Regions from separate parts of the Mus musculus genome. Here region 2 is reported to be linked to region 1. Evidence: microRNA targets listed by miRTarBase, many of them from high-throughput screens and not tested one by one. Region 1 holds a microRNA gene; the other region holds the end of a gene's coding sequence.
Evidence for each region. The annotated mature microRNA mmu-miR-3070-2-3p reads UGGUGCUAUGGUCAGGGGUAGA and lies in region 1 at 3,030-3,051, opposite strand. An mRNA with a match to its seed (bases 2 to 7 or 8) in the 3' UTR can be bound and repressed. Matches are read on the target gene's strand: a 7mer-m8 pairs with bases 2 to 8, a 7mer-A1 pairs with bases 2 to 7 and ends in A, and an 8mer does both.

Region 1 (5,073 bases):
TCACACTTCAATTTTGGTGTTATGGAGATGCCAGCTGAAGGTGACACACAAGCACTCTTCCGCAGATGTTGGAACCAGAGAGGCTTCAGAGCAAGGTTTCTGCGCCCACTGCTGCTTATGTCCATTAGGGCAAATCTAAGGTACTTTGACAGATCCTCTGAGACTGAGGATAAAGAGGATGATGAAGAAGAGGAGGAGGAAGATGGTGAAGAAGAAGAAGGGGAGGAGGAGGAAGATGGTGAAGAAGAAGAAGGGGAGGAGGAGGAAGATGGTGAAGAAGAAGAGGAGGAGGAGGAAGATGATGAAGAAGAAGAAGGGGAGGAGGAGGAAGATGGTGAAGAAGAAGAAGGGGAGGAGGAGGAAGATGGTGAAGAAGAAGAAGGGGAGGAGGAGGAAGATGGTGAAGAAGAAGAAGGGGAGGAGGAGGGAGAGGAGGAGGAAGAAGGAGAGGAGGAAGAGGAGGAAGAAGAGGATGAGGAGGAAGAGGAGGAGGAAGAGGAAGAGGAGGAAGAAGAGGAGGAAGAAGAGGAGGAGGAGGAAGAGGAGGAAGAAGAGGAGGAGGAAGATGAGGAAGAAGAGGATGAGGAGGAAGAAGATGAGGAGGTGCCCAGCATGGTGCGGGAGCTACTGGCTGCCATCCCGATGGACCATATCCTCAATGGCTTACTGGCTCACTTCAGTGTGGCCCAGATCCGGGCCGTTGTCCTAAACTTCTTCCGTGGCCTGCTCTACTGGAAGAGTCTCCTGGGTGTGGCAGCTGTCCTGGTGATGTTGAGAGCAAGGCAGCCCCTCTCCCCAGTGCCTGCCCCTAATTTGGAAGTGGCCAGGCCTCAGCACCGGCACACACTCCGACTCATCCTGGACTCGACCCTCATTGCGAGTAGTGGCATGGCCACAGCCATCGCTCAGTTGCTCAGCCAGATGCCCCCTCTAGTGGGTGCCAACACCCTCCCAGCTCGAGAGCTGGCTGAGCTTTTCCTGGGCCCAAGGTGCTGGCATCGGAATGCTCTGCATTCCCAGCCTCCACGGGGGATGCGCTTCACCCCTGGGTTCTGGTTGACCCTGTGTGAGTTCTTTGGGGTCAGAGTCAACCCTGAGGATGACGTCTTTCCTGACCCTTACCAGCACCGGTACTTGGAACTGCACGTCGTTGGGGATGAAGATGTCGTCTTGCGAGAAGCCCTGCAAGACGACCTGCAACGTTACCGTCAGTGTGGCCTGCATGACGGCCTGCAAGACACCTCGCAGGACGCGCAGGACAACGACGTGCAAGAGGACCTGTTTGGCGACCAGGAAGCGGTCACCTTCAGACCACGAAATCTTTTGGACCCAGAGGTCCTAGATTTCCTCAACAACCGGCTACTCTACACCCTGGGCACCGATGGCCGCCTTACTCTGCTTAGCAGAGATCAGGTGGCCCAGGCCCTCACACGATTCCTGGCCATGGCCTCCAGAATGGCGCTGCCTTCCCCAGCCAGGGAACAGGCAAGGCTAGAAGAGCTATCAGACTCAGATGATGAACTTGACTGAAAACACACCAAGTCACTGTCATTTTCCCTTGTGCCTCGGCCAGCTTCGCTCAGATCCAGCACACCCTCTTGCTACTCCTAACCCAAGGGGAACCCACTTGTGAAGGGCCACAACTTCATCAACCAGCAACATCATCTGTGCTAAAGAACTAGCCAACTATCAGCGTCCCAGAACCAGCCAAGACTGTGTAACCCTAACTGTCCTAACTGTCCGGGCCCCAGGCCCACAAAAGGGAGTGAGACCAATGAGGAGAGAGCAGTGATGAGCAACAGTGACCCCGTCACCCCAGGCCAGATGCAGAGCAGATACAGCAGGTGCAGCCAAGCAAGCAGATGCCAGTGACCCCACCACCACCCCCTGAGTGGCAGGCGGCCACCTGTGCATCCTGGGACACTGACCTTGGGTGCTCCACGGACTTCTACCTCTACACCGGTGCTCCGACTCCCCTGGACACGCCCCTACTCCCTCCCAGTCTCCCAAGGTGCTGTGGTTCCATGCTTTCCACAACCCCAGCCCACCCTGCAAGCAAGTCCACCCCCCCCCCCACAACCCACCCACCCACTACCGGTCTGGTCCGGCTCCATTGACACCTCATCTGACCCTGAACTCTGATCTTACCTGGGCAGAACTGCTCCAAGGAGCATTCGACGTACCAGTGTGACTTACCAGATGGACTGATCCACCCTGAAGGTCCCTGAGACTCAGAGGACCCAAGAAAGGGTGGTAGCAACCAAGTGGGGCTCCCTTTTCCCTCCCCAAATGGACATATGGACAGTGCAGGGGACAGAGACCTTCCATAAAGGAGGGAGCCCCCAAGAGACACTGGTGAAGCCCCAGATACCCAGAGTACTGTGCCAAGGAGCCAAGAGTGCTCTGACCAGACCCACTGCTCACTGCCACAGGAAGGAGAGGTCCTTCCATTGCTTTCCCAACTCATACCTGCTTTTGCCCCATGAATAAAGAGAAGAAAAGATTATCTGACTTTGTGGTTTGTTCTAAAAGGGAGAGGGTGGATAGTAGGAGGCAGGACTGGAGAACATGGAGCATGGGGTCAGAAAGGATGGAGTGTGAAGAGAGGGTTGGGATGGGCAAGGGCAAGGGTGGGAGGGGCAGGGATAGGAGGGCTTGACTCTCCAGAAACAGCTCATGAAGACATGGAGCAACAGGCCTCCTGTCTTCTCCTAAAGGGAGGGAAGTCAATTCACTCTCAAAACTTTGGGCTCCTCTGGGAAATGGACCAAGGGTTTCATGGGGCAGAAGGAGGGTACCCAGAATTCCCAGCCCTCATCTGGTCCCAGCCCTCTAGTCACATGAGAAATGAGGAATGGCCAGACTGTGCTCAATGCCCACAGCTGAGGAGGGTCAACAGGCAGGATGTTTGAGCTTGGATCCCAGAAAAACAGTTCTTAGAACCCAAGACTGCATCCCTCCACGCCCCCTCCAGCCTGCACTGGGGTCACTGTGCCCTTATGGGTCCTAAGGGGCCTCATGACAAGGAATCTACCCCTGACCATAGCACCAGAAGATCATGGGGAGGATCCCAGGTTCAAGGTCAGGGGCTCAGCCTCACTCAGCACTTCCTCCTGTTGCTAAGGAGGCTCCAGTGGCCCCCCACTGGAACCATTCCCACAGTTGGCCCCTGAGATCCTTGCCTTAAAAAAAGCTATCTTGAGGGATACTCTGGGATGGGGAAGGAGCTCCTAGGGGTAGAGGGAAATTGAGCAAATAGTCCCTTACTCACAAACTCTATACTTCCTACCCAGAAAATCTGCACACAAGCTAGGAGTATAAAAACAAGGGCCCCCTCCCACTGTGACCTCAAAGATAGTGGGCAGGTGCAATGAGCAGGGCCCTCACGCCCAAGGGCCCTTTCTTAACTCTGCCCTTTATATCTTGCCTGGAAATGTACCCCTGAGTTAACCTCAAGGGGCCCTCTTTGGCCTGAGAATGTGTCAGACCCCTGGATACCCAGCATGACACCTCCCCCTACCTGCTTTCAGCTCTTTGATCCCATCTATACAGGATCTATAAGCTTGGGTCCCAGAAAAACCCTACTTAGAACGCAAGATTGCATCCCTCCACGCCCCCTCCAGCCTGCACTGGGGTCACTGTGTCCTTATGGGTCCTAAGGGGCCTCATGACAAGGAATCTACCCCTGACGGTAGCACCAGGAGATCATGGATAGGATCCCAGGTTCAAGGTCAGGGGCTCAGCCTCACTCAGCACTTCCTCCTGTTCCTAAGGAGCGTCCATAACCTTAAGGTGGGACTGGGGTCCTATTGGAGGAGAACAAACGTACCAGTCCTGTACCCTCACTTAGTTTACCTGGGCACCTCCAACAAAACTGGGCCTCAAAACAAAACAAAACAATCCTGTCCCTGCTTGGTGAGGACTTCTCTGGCCCAGTGAATGCAGAGATGACTTAGGTCAGGACTACTGCCAGGGGCCCCAAGGCCCTGAGGGCCCCAAGCAAGTGAGAGTGAAGGAGAACTCAGTGAGCCAGCAGCCCGCCAAGAGGCTGCCAGTGATGTTGACTGCAGAGGTGCGTTTACCCACAGCCCGCACGAACACAGACCATAAAGGACAATAAAGGCCCGCAGGCCTACCAATCTACCCAGCAGGGATTTGTCCCCATTAACAGCAAAAGGAGGTGGTCCGGACTGTGAAGAGAGCTGGTGACGTGCTAAAACGTGCTAAAACGGTAGGTTATCAGGTTATCGGCGGAGCCACTTATAGAGATTGAAAAACACAACACAAACCTTTTTTTTTCTCCTGGGGAAGAGAAAAGAAAAGAAAGAAATTGGTGTGAAAGTTCCTGCTAGGGGATGATAACATCACTTCCAACCCTGTCAAGGTGAAAACCAGAGGCCAGGCCCTGGCTGCAGACTCCACCCACCAAGGAGCTGCCCCCACTTCCCAGCTTCAGTCCCCAACCAGAGAGCTCTGACAGCATCCAGGAACAAAGAGGAGCAGGGGCCCTCCCTTGCCCACCTTCCCTGTCCTCTCCATTGCTTCCCCTTATAAGATGTCCCTGCAGGTACCAGAGCCAGTGACAGCACACACACAGGACCCTGAGTCCAGAGTTTTACCAGCTCCTCACCAGGCTGGAGCAGAGATCTCCACATGCCTGGGTAACCTGGGCTAACTTGGGCTACCCCCATAGTAAGAAAAGGAAAAGAAAATATTACCCACCCCTCAACTGTCCCATACACCTTAAGCCCTGGTGCTGGGCCCAGGGGACCACATCGTTAGACACGATCTGAGACCTGAGCAGCAAACCTCATCTGGACTTTGATCCACCTGTGTGAGCTGAGAGACACGCATGACCATCTTGCCACCAAGACCGTGCAGGAGCACAAGTAGGAAGAAGGAGATTGGGGGCAGAGGGGGGGACAGGGAAGGGAGAGACAGTGGTGAAGGGGAGGGGGACTGGGTGTGGCCTGGGTCCTCCCTGTCCTGCCCTCAAATCCTTTCACAGCTTCCAGGCTATTCACTCAGGGTGCTCCTGTGTGCCGGGGCTGGCTGCCATAGCTGGTAAATGCA
Region 2 (5,073 bases), not on the chromosome of region 1:
TGTTTAGCCTGCCGACAATCAGCTTGGAATAAACAGAGTTCTGTTTGAATTCCTTTGCTACTACGGCTGGATGTAACCCTAGGTCACTGTGGATGTAACCCTAGGTCACTGTGGACCTCAGTAGCCTGAGATCCCTTGAGACCAGCTCAGTAGCTCAAAGGATCCTTCAAGAGGCTCAAGGGTGAGCCGGGGACAAGGTGTCCCCAGTTGTTACTTCTGTGTTCCAGCCCAGTTCTGGAGATGCCCTACAAAGCAGCCCCGTGTCACCGTGTTGCTGTGTTCTGTCACCTCGTTAACAGGTCACATCACTAATCATTCATGTGGAGTGTTTAACCTATCATTTTAAGTTACTCCATGCATGCTGTAAATCATTCATTCAGATGCTGAAGCTGCCTGGTTTGTTTCATTTGACTTCAGTGTGTTTGGAGTATGTTGGGACTGTGGCCCACATGACACTGCAGATCTGAGTAACACTGTCTCCCTCTCTCGGCTCTGAAGGAACTGCCTTGTTCTGCGCTCGCGCCCTCCCTAGAGCCCTGCTTTTCCAGGCCAGAGAGACCAGCAAACCGCCGCCTTCCATCCCGTTGGGCCCCACCTTCCCCCACTGCCTCACAGTCACAGTCACCCGGACACCCGATGTCCATGGAGGAACACGGTGAGGAGGACCCACCAGAGGAGAAGCCACACCTGTGACAGGATGCAAGCTTGCGTGGATGATCGCCGGAATAGTTCACTGTAATTTGCATAACCAGACCATCACCGCCATCAGCCAACCTCCATCCCAAAGGAAAGATGTAGATCCTTTCTCAAGGTCGAAGGATGCTTTTAAAAACACACGGCTACTGAATGTTCAACCTGGTAAACTGAGATGTTTCGGGAATGAAACAGTAAACGTGCCTGTAATCATTTTTTCATAGCTCAGAAAACTATTTTTGTCTCCCATCTTTTTTACACATGATATATTAAACAAAAAAGGTAAATAAGGTATAAATAGATTTAAAGAGTTTTAAAATGTACATTTGAAGAGATTCCGAGCACCCTTGTTCTCAGTTCTGCCTGCCTGTTGAATTTGCACTGTTCCGTTCTGGTTGGGTTTCTCCATGTTGAGTTCGGAGTGTTCTAAGTTAAATTTTATTTTGTCCAGTCTTAATTTTTCAGGAGTCTTTCTTAACGCTTTAGACTGTCTTAACTCAGTGAACTTTTTGTAATGATAAGGCCGTGAGGCCAGAAGACGAGAGTGTCTGTCATCTGAAAGGATGCAGGCCAACCTTGCTGAAAAGGTACGGAGCCCTTCAGATAGACTTAAGACTCTGCGTGACCCATCTGCCCAGCCTGACCGCACGTCCTCGGGCACCTGTACATACACTGCTCTGTCCCTGCCCTCACCTGCGTGTGTGTCAGTCTGGTCTACTGTAACTTGTTGTGAAGTTCCTTGTACCGTGTGTACTGTTGCTGTTGGTCTCTTGTACCAGTAAGACAATGGCTCCATTTTTTTTAATTATTGTTAAAACATTAACTGATGGTGTACAAATCTCACTTGACATTTTTCTTGTTTAAGGAAAAGCACCATAAAAAAAAAAATAAGGAGGCCAAACCGAGACAGACAAAGGTGCCTCAGGTCTGCCTGAGACCACGGTGACATGGAAATAAAGTCCTTACAAGAAAGCAACAGGGTCTTGGTGTCACCGTTTATTGCTGGCTCCTTCTTCTCCCTTGTCTTCTTCAGCTCTAAATGGAAAGTGTCTCTGGGTTTTCCTGTAGCGGACAGAGTGCAGGGGACTTAAAGGAAGAGCTGCACACACTAGGAAAGAGGGACACAGCAGCGCTAGGCATCACTCTGTCTCCGTGCAGATTTTGCAGCCCAGCGTGTTGGTGTTGTAGGTTGGGGTTCCAAAGAGACTGTGGGGGAGCACAGAACTGTTTTTGAAGGACCAGAGTTTCTGGCTTTCAAGTTTCATTAACCCAACCGTTCCCTTCTTTTTCAGATGAGGTAATAAGGCCTCTTCCCAGGATTGTGTAGTTCCTCCTTAAATGGCCTCAGGACAAGTGTTAGTGAGGAGATGAGCAGTTGCAGTCTTGATGTCATATTGGTAGAGACATTAAGCCGTGCAGCCACTGTGGAAGACACCCTAACATTCCTTTATCCAACCAACAGTTACTATGTAGTCATCTATTCCCAACTTGGATACACGGAGCTTCTGAGTTGAAATAAGACTCATATAGATACTTTTCACAGCAGTGTTACATAGAAAAATCAAAAATAGAAACAGCATACATGGCCACCCACAAAGGAGTGGAGAAACAAAATGTGTACACACTGTAGAATATTAGCTAGCAGTAAGGAAACAGGATGTGTGGTACTCTCTTCAATGTGGGAGAACCTTGAAGACCTAGTAGATGAGCTATATCAGTCATAAAAAGCTATGATTTCCACTCCTGTGACATTTACTAACCCAGTCATTTGTAGAGACAAATTGAAGTAGTGGTGACCAGGAGTTGAAGGCAAGAGACAAGGGAGTTGGCATGAGATGGTAGCACAGCTTCAGTTTATCATGAAGCAAAGATCCCGGAAGTAAAAGTCATGGCTGTCCCGCATCAAGAGACACTTGATGCCACCGAATTAACACTTTAAAAGGGCTAGCACAGGAAAGCTCTTGGACACTTTACCACAATCAAACCTTTTTAATGTAGAAAATAAAAATTTTCACATAGCCACACTAGATAAAGCCACAAAGAACTTCTCAGCGGATCGGTGGTTCGTGGGAGGGAGCTGGGGTCCGGCGCCATGGCCGTTCCTAGAGTGTTTGAAGCTTTGGGCTCAGTCCCTAGTCTTAAAGACAGAAAGCACTGCTGACAGGTGCAGAGCAGCACAGCGGGAGCCAGCAAGGAGGGGCTGGGATGCTCACAGCATGAGTTGGAACTGCTGTCTCCAAGTCTGTGTCCTCTAGATCCTTACTCTGAGACAAGCATCCTAGGTATTGGTGCTGATGGTGCCCATCCCCTTGTTAGTTTGGGAATCCTAGAGAAAGACATTCTCACCAAGGTTTCGTCAAATTCGATGCTCCTTATCGCTTTGGAATAAGTCATATCATGGTGTTGTTCCAAAGCTACCTGAGCCAATACTGTTGACAGGCTGGCCCAGAAAATGCATTGGAACTGTTAGAATAAGGGAAAGAGGATGCCGGGAAGGCAGCATGGGCTTCGAGTTGCTAAAGGACAACCCCAAAGTTACAGAAACAAGATCTGGTCACCAGAAAATTGGTTGGACAAGGTAAAGTTCCCAATTGGTGCAGACAGTGTAAGCGTCATTCCAGTGTCAATGACGGAGAGATTTCATAAGAACAGCCCCATCAGGTAGCTGGCTAGTTGCAGAGTTCATGAACAAAGCCATCTGGAACCTCCAAATACTATCATGGAGTCACTCAGACTTTAAAAGGCAAGACTGTCATTTCCCGCTGGTCAGTCCAAACGGGTGCTGAGGCAGTTCTGTGGATTTGGGGTCCACTGTGAAGGCAGAGCAGCTGTCTGCAGGGAAGGGTCCAAGAGAAGCATCTCCACCCGTCATTATTCATGCACCAGCTGCTCTCCTGGCCTAAAGAAAGATGTGGCAGATTCCTGAGACCCAGGGAACAAGACTCACCCACCAGCATGCCCTGCCCAGTGGGGGACGGCAGCTCCAGCAGCCTGGAGACCTCAGCAAACCACAGTGGATGGCTGTATACTTGTTCCAGGAGGTAACATGCTATGTTAAGGTTTTCAGTGTGTGCATCTAGTTTTTAATATATGTGTACATAATTCTAATTATTTTTCTTTACCCTTGTCTATAAAATGACTTAGGAGATCTGCAGATATTTAATCTCTTAAATTTTTATTAAATGTATTTAATGTTTTGCTATGCATAATGAATGTCACACTATGTCAAGCAAATCACCATTTCCAGCTCACGCAGTAACTCCCCCGCCCCCTTTCAGCAAGAGCCCCTGAACATCTCTCCGTGTAGCCCAGATGACCTTATCAATGCCTTAAATGACATCCAAGACCAGTGACAGCAGGTAAGCTGAGGTTCATTCGGGTCTCTGAGTTTCAAAGGAAACCACTTTCCAGGTTTTAGACATTAGGAAAGGAAAATGGCTCAAGTCTCTTACAAGGGAAAAAGGTATAAATTAATTCTGCTGTGGGGAGCTGGTTCATGACGACTAAGAGGGCTCCCCAGGTGCTCTTTGCATGTAGTTGGGGTAGGAGTGGGGTGGGAATCTAATCAAAGTGCTGTCACTGTGAAACATCCTTTGTTGCAGGAAGTGGGGGTCGCCATGGCTAGAGGGAGGGGTAGAGAGCTCTGGAGAAGAGCCGAGGAGAAATCAAGGGGTCGTGGGGAGCCCCAGGGGCCCACGGGGAAGGGTTTGGGTTTTCTAGGTGGGAAAACAAAGGCTTTGGGCAGACTGATCAGAGGAGCTCCAGTGTGTGTGTGCATGCACATCTCCAAGCTGGAACCACCAAAGGAGGGAGAGGTGTGGGGTAGGGGTGGGGCTCCCAAGCTCAAGGCTCACAAAAGAACAAGGCAGCAGTGGGGTTCACTGCCAAGAACTACACACTCGCTAGGAACCCAAGAGCCACCCCTAGCTGTTCTGTTAAAAGCCCTTATTTATTCTCCTGTAGCCTCCTAGGCCTGGCAGCTAAAGAGCTTGTTCCTCTCAAAGTCTCTCCCTTATGCAGCTAGGTCCTCGGAGCTTTGTGCTGGGTTTCTTTAAGGATAGGCACTTGTAAGCAATCATTGGACATTGATACTTCAGCAAAAGTGTCTGTCTGTCTGTGTGTTTGTCTGTGTGTCTGTCTTACCGTTCTGTAAGGGGAGAGCTGAGGTCTCTGGATGTAGGCCTGACTGGAGAGAGCTTCGGTGGCCCAGTTATCAGTGCTGCACAATACATCTGAATGGAATGGAAATGATGGAATCTTGACCTGATTTCCTTAGCCTAGTTCTTGTGGGACTAGGATGACCTATCTCACCGAAAAGATTTGTTCCGTGATTTTATAGCAAACTACTAACCTTCAGCAAAGACTTCCAAGAAGACACAA

Region 2: miRTarBase lists Mtcl1 as a target of mmu-miR-3070-2-3p. Seed matches in the 3' UTR shown: 7mer-A1 at 1,563-1,569.

What each region holds. Positions count from the first base shown.
Region 1 is chr12:109,586,626-109,591,698 of GRCm38, reverse strand. It overlaps Mir3070b (microRNA 3070b), which reads right to left and starts at 3,107; the gene lies at 3,019-3,107. Rtl1 (retrotransposon Gaglike 1) reads left to right here. Exons shown (of 2, transcript NM_184109.2): 2 at 1-2,506. The coding sequence ends at 1,530. It overlaps Mir3070a (microRNA 3070a), which reads right to left and starts at 3,756; the gene lies at 3,668-3,756. It overlaps Mir431 (microRNA 431), which reads right to left and starts at 1,252; the gene lies at 1,162-1,252. It also overlaps 6430411K18Rik.
Region 2 is chr17:66,333,580-66,338,652 of GRCm38, reverse strand. It overlaps Mtcl1 (microtubule crosslinking factor 1), which reads left to right. Exons shown (of 14, transcript NM_172963.4): 14 at 499-1,671. The coding sequence ends at 693. Among named protein-coding and RNA genes, the nearest start is that of Mtcl1, 110 kb to the left of the region's middle.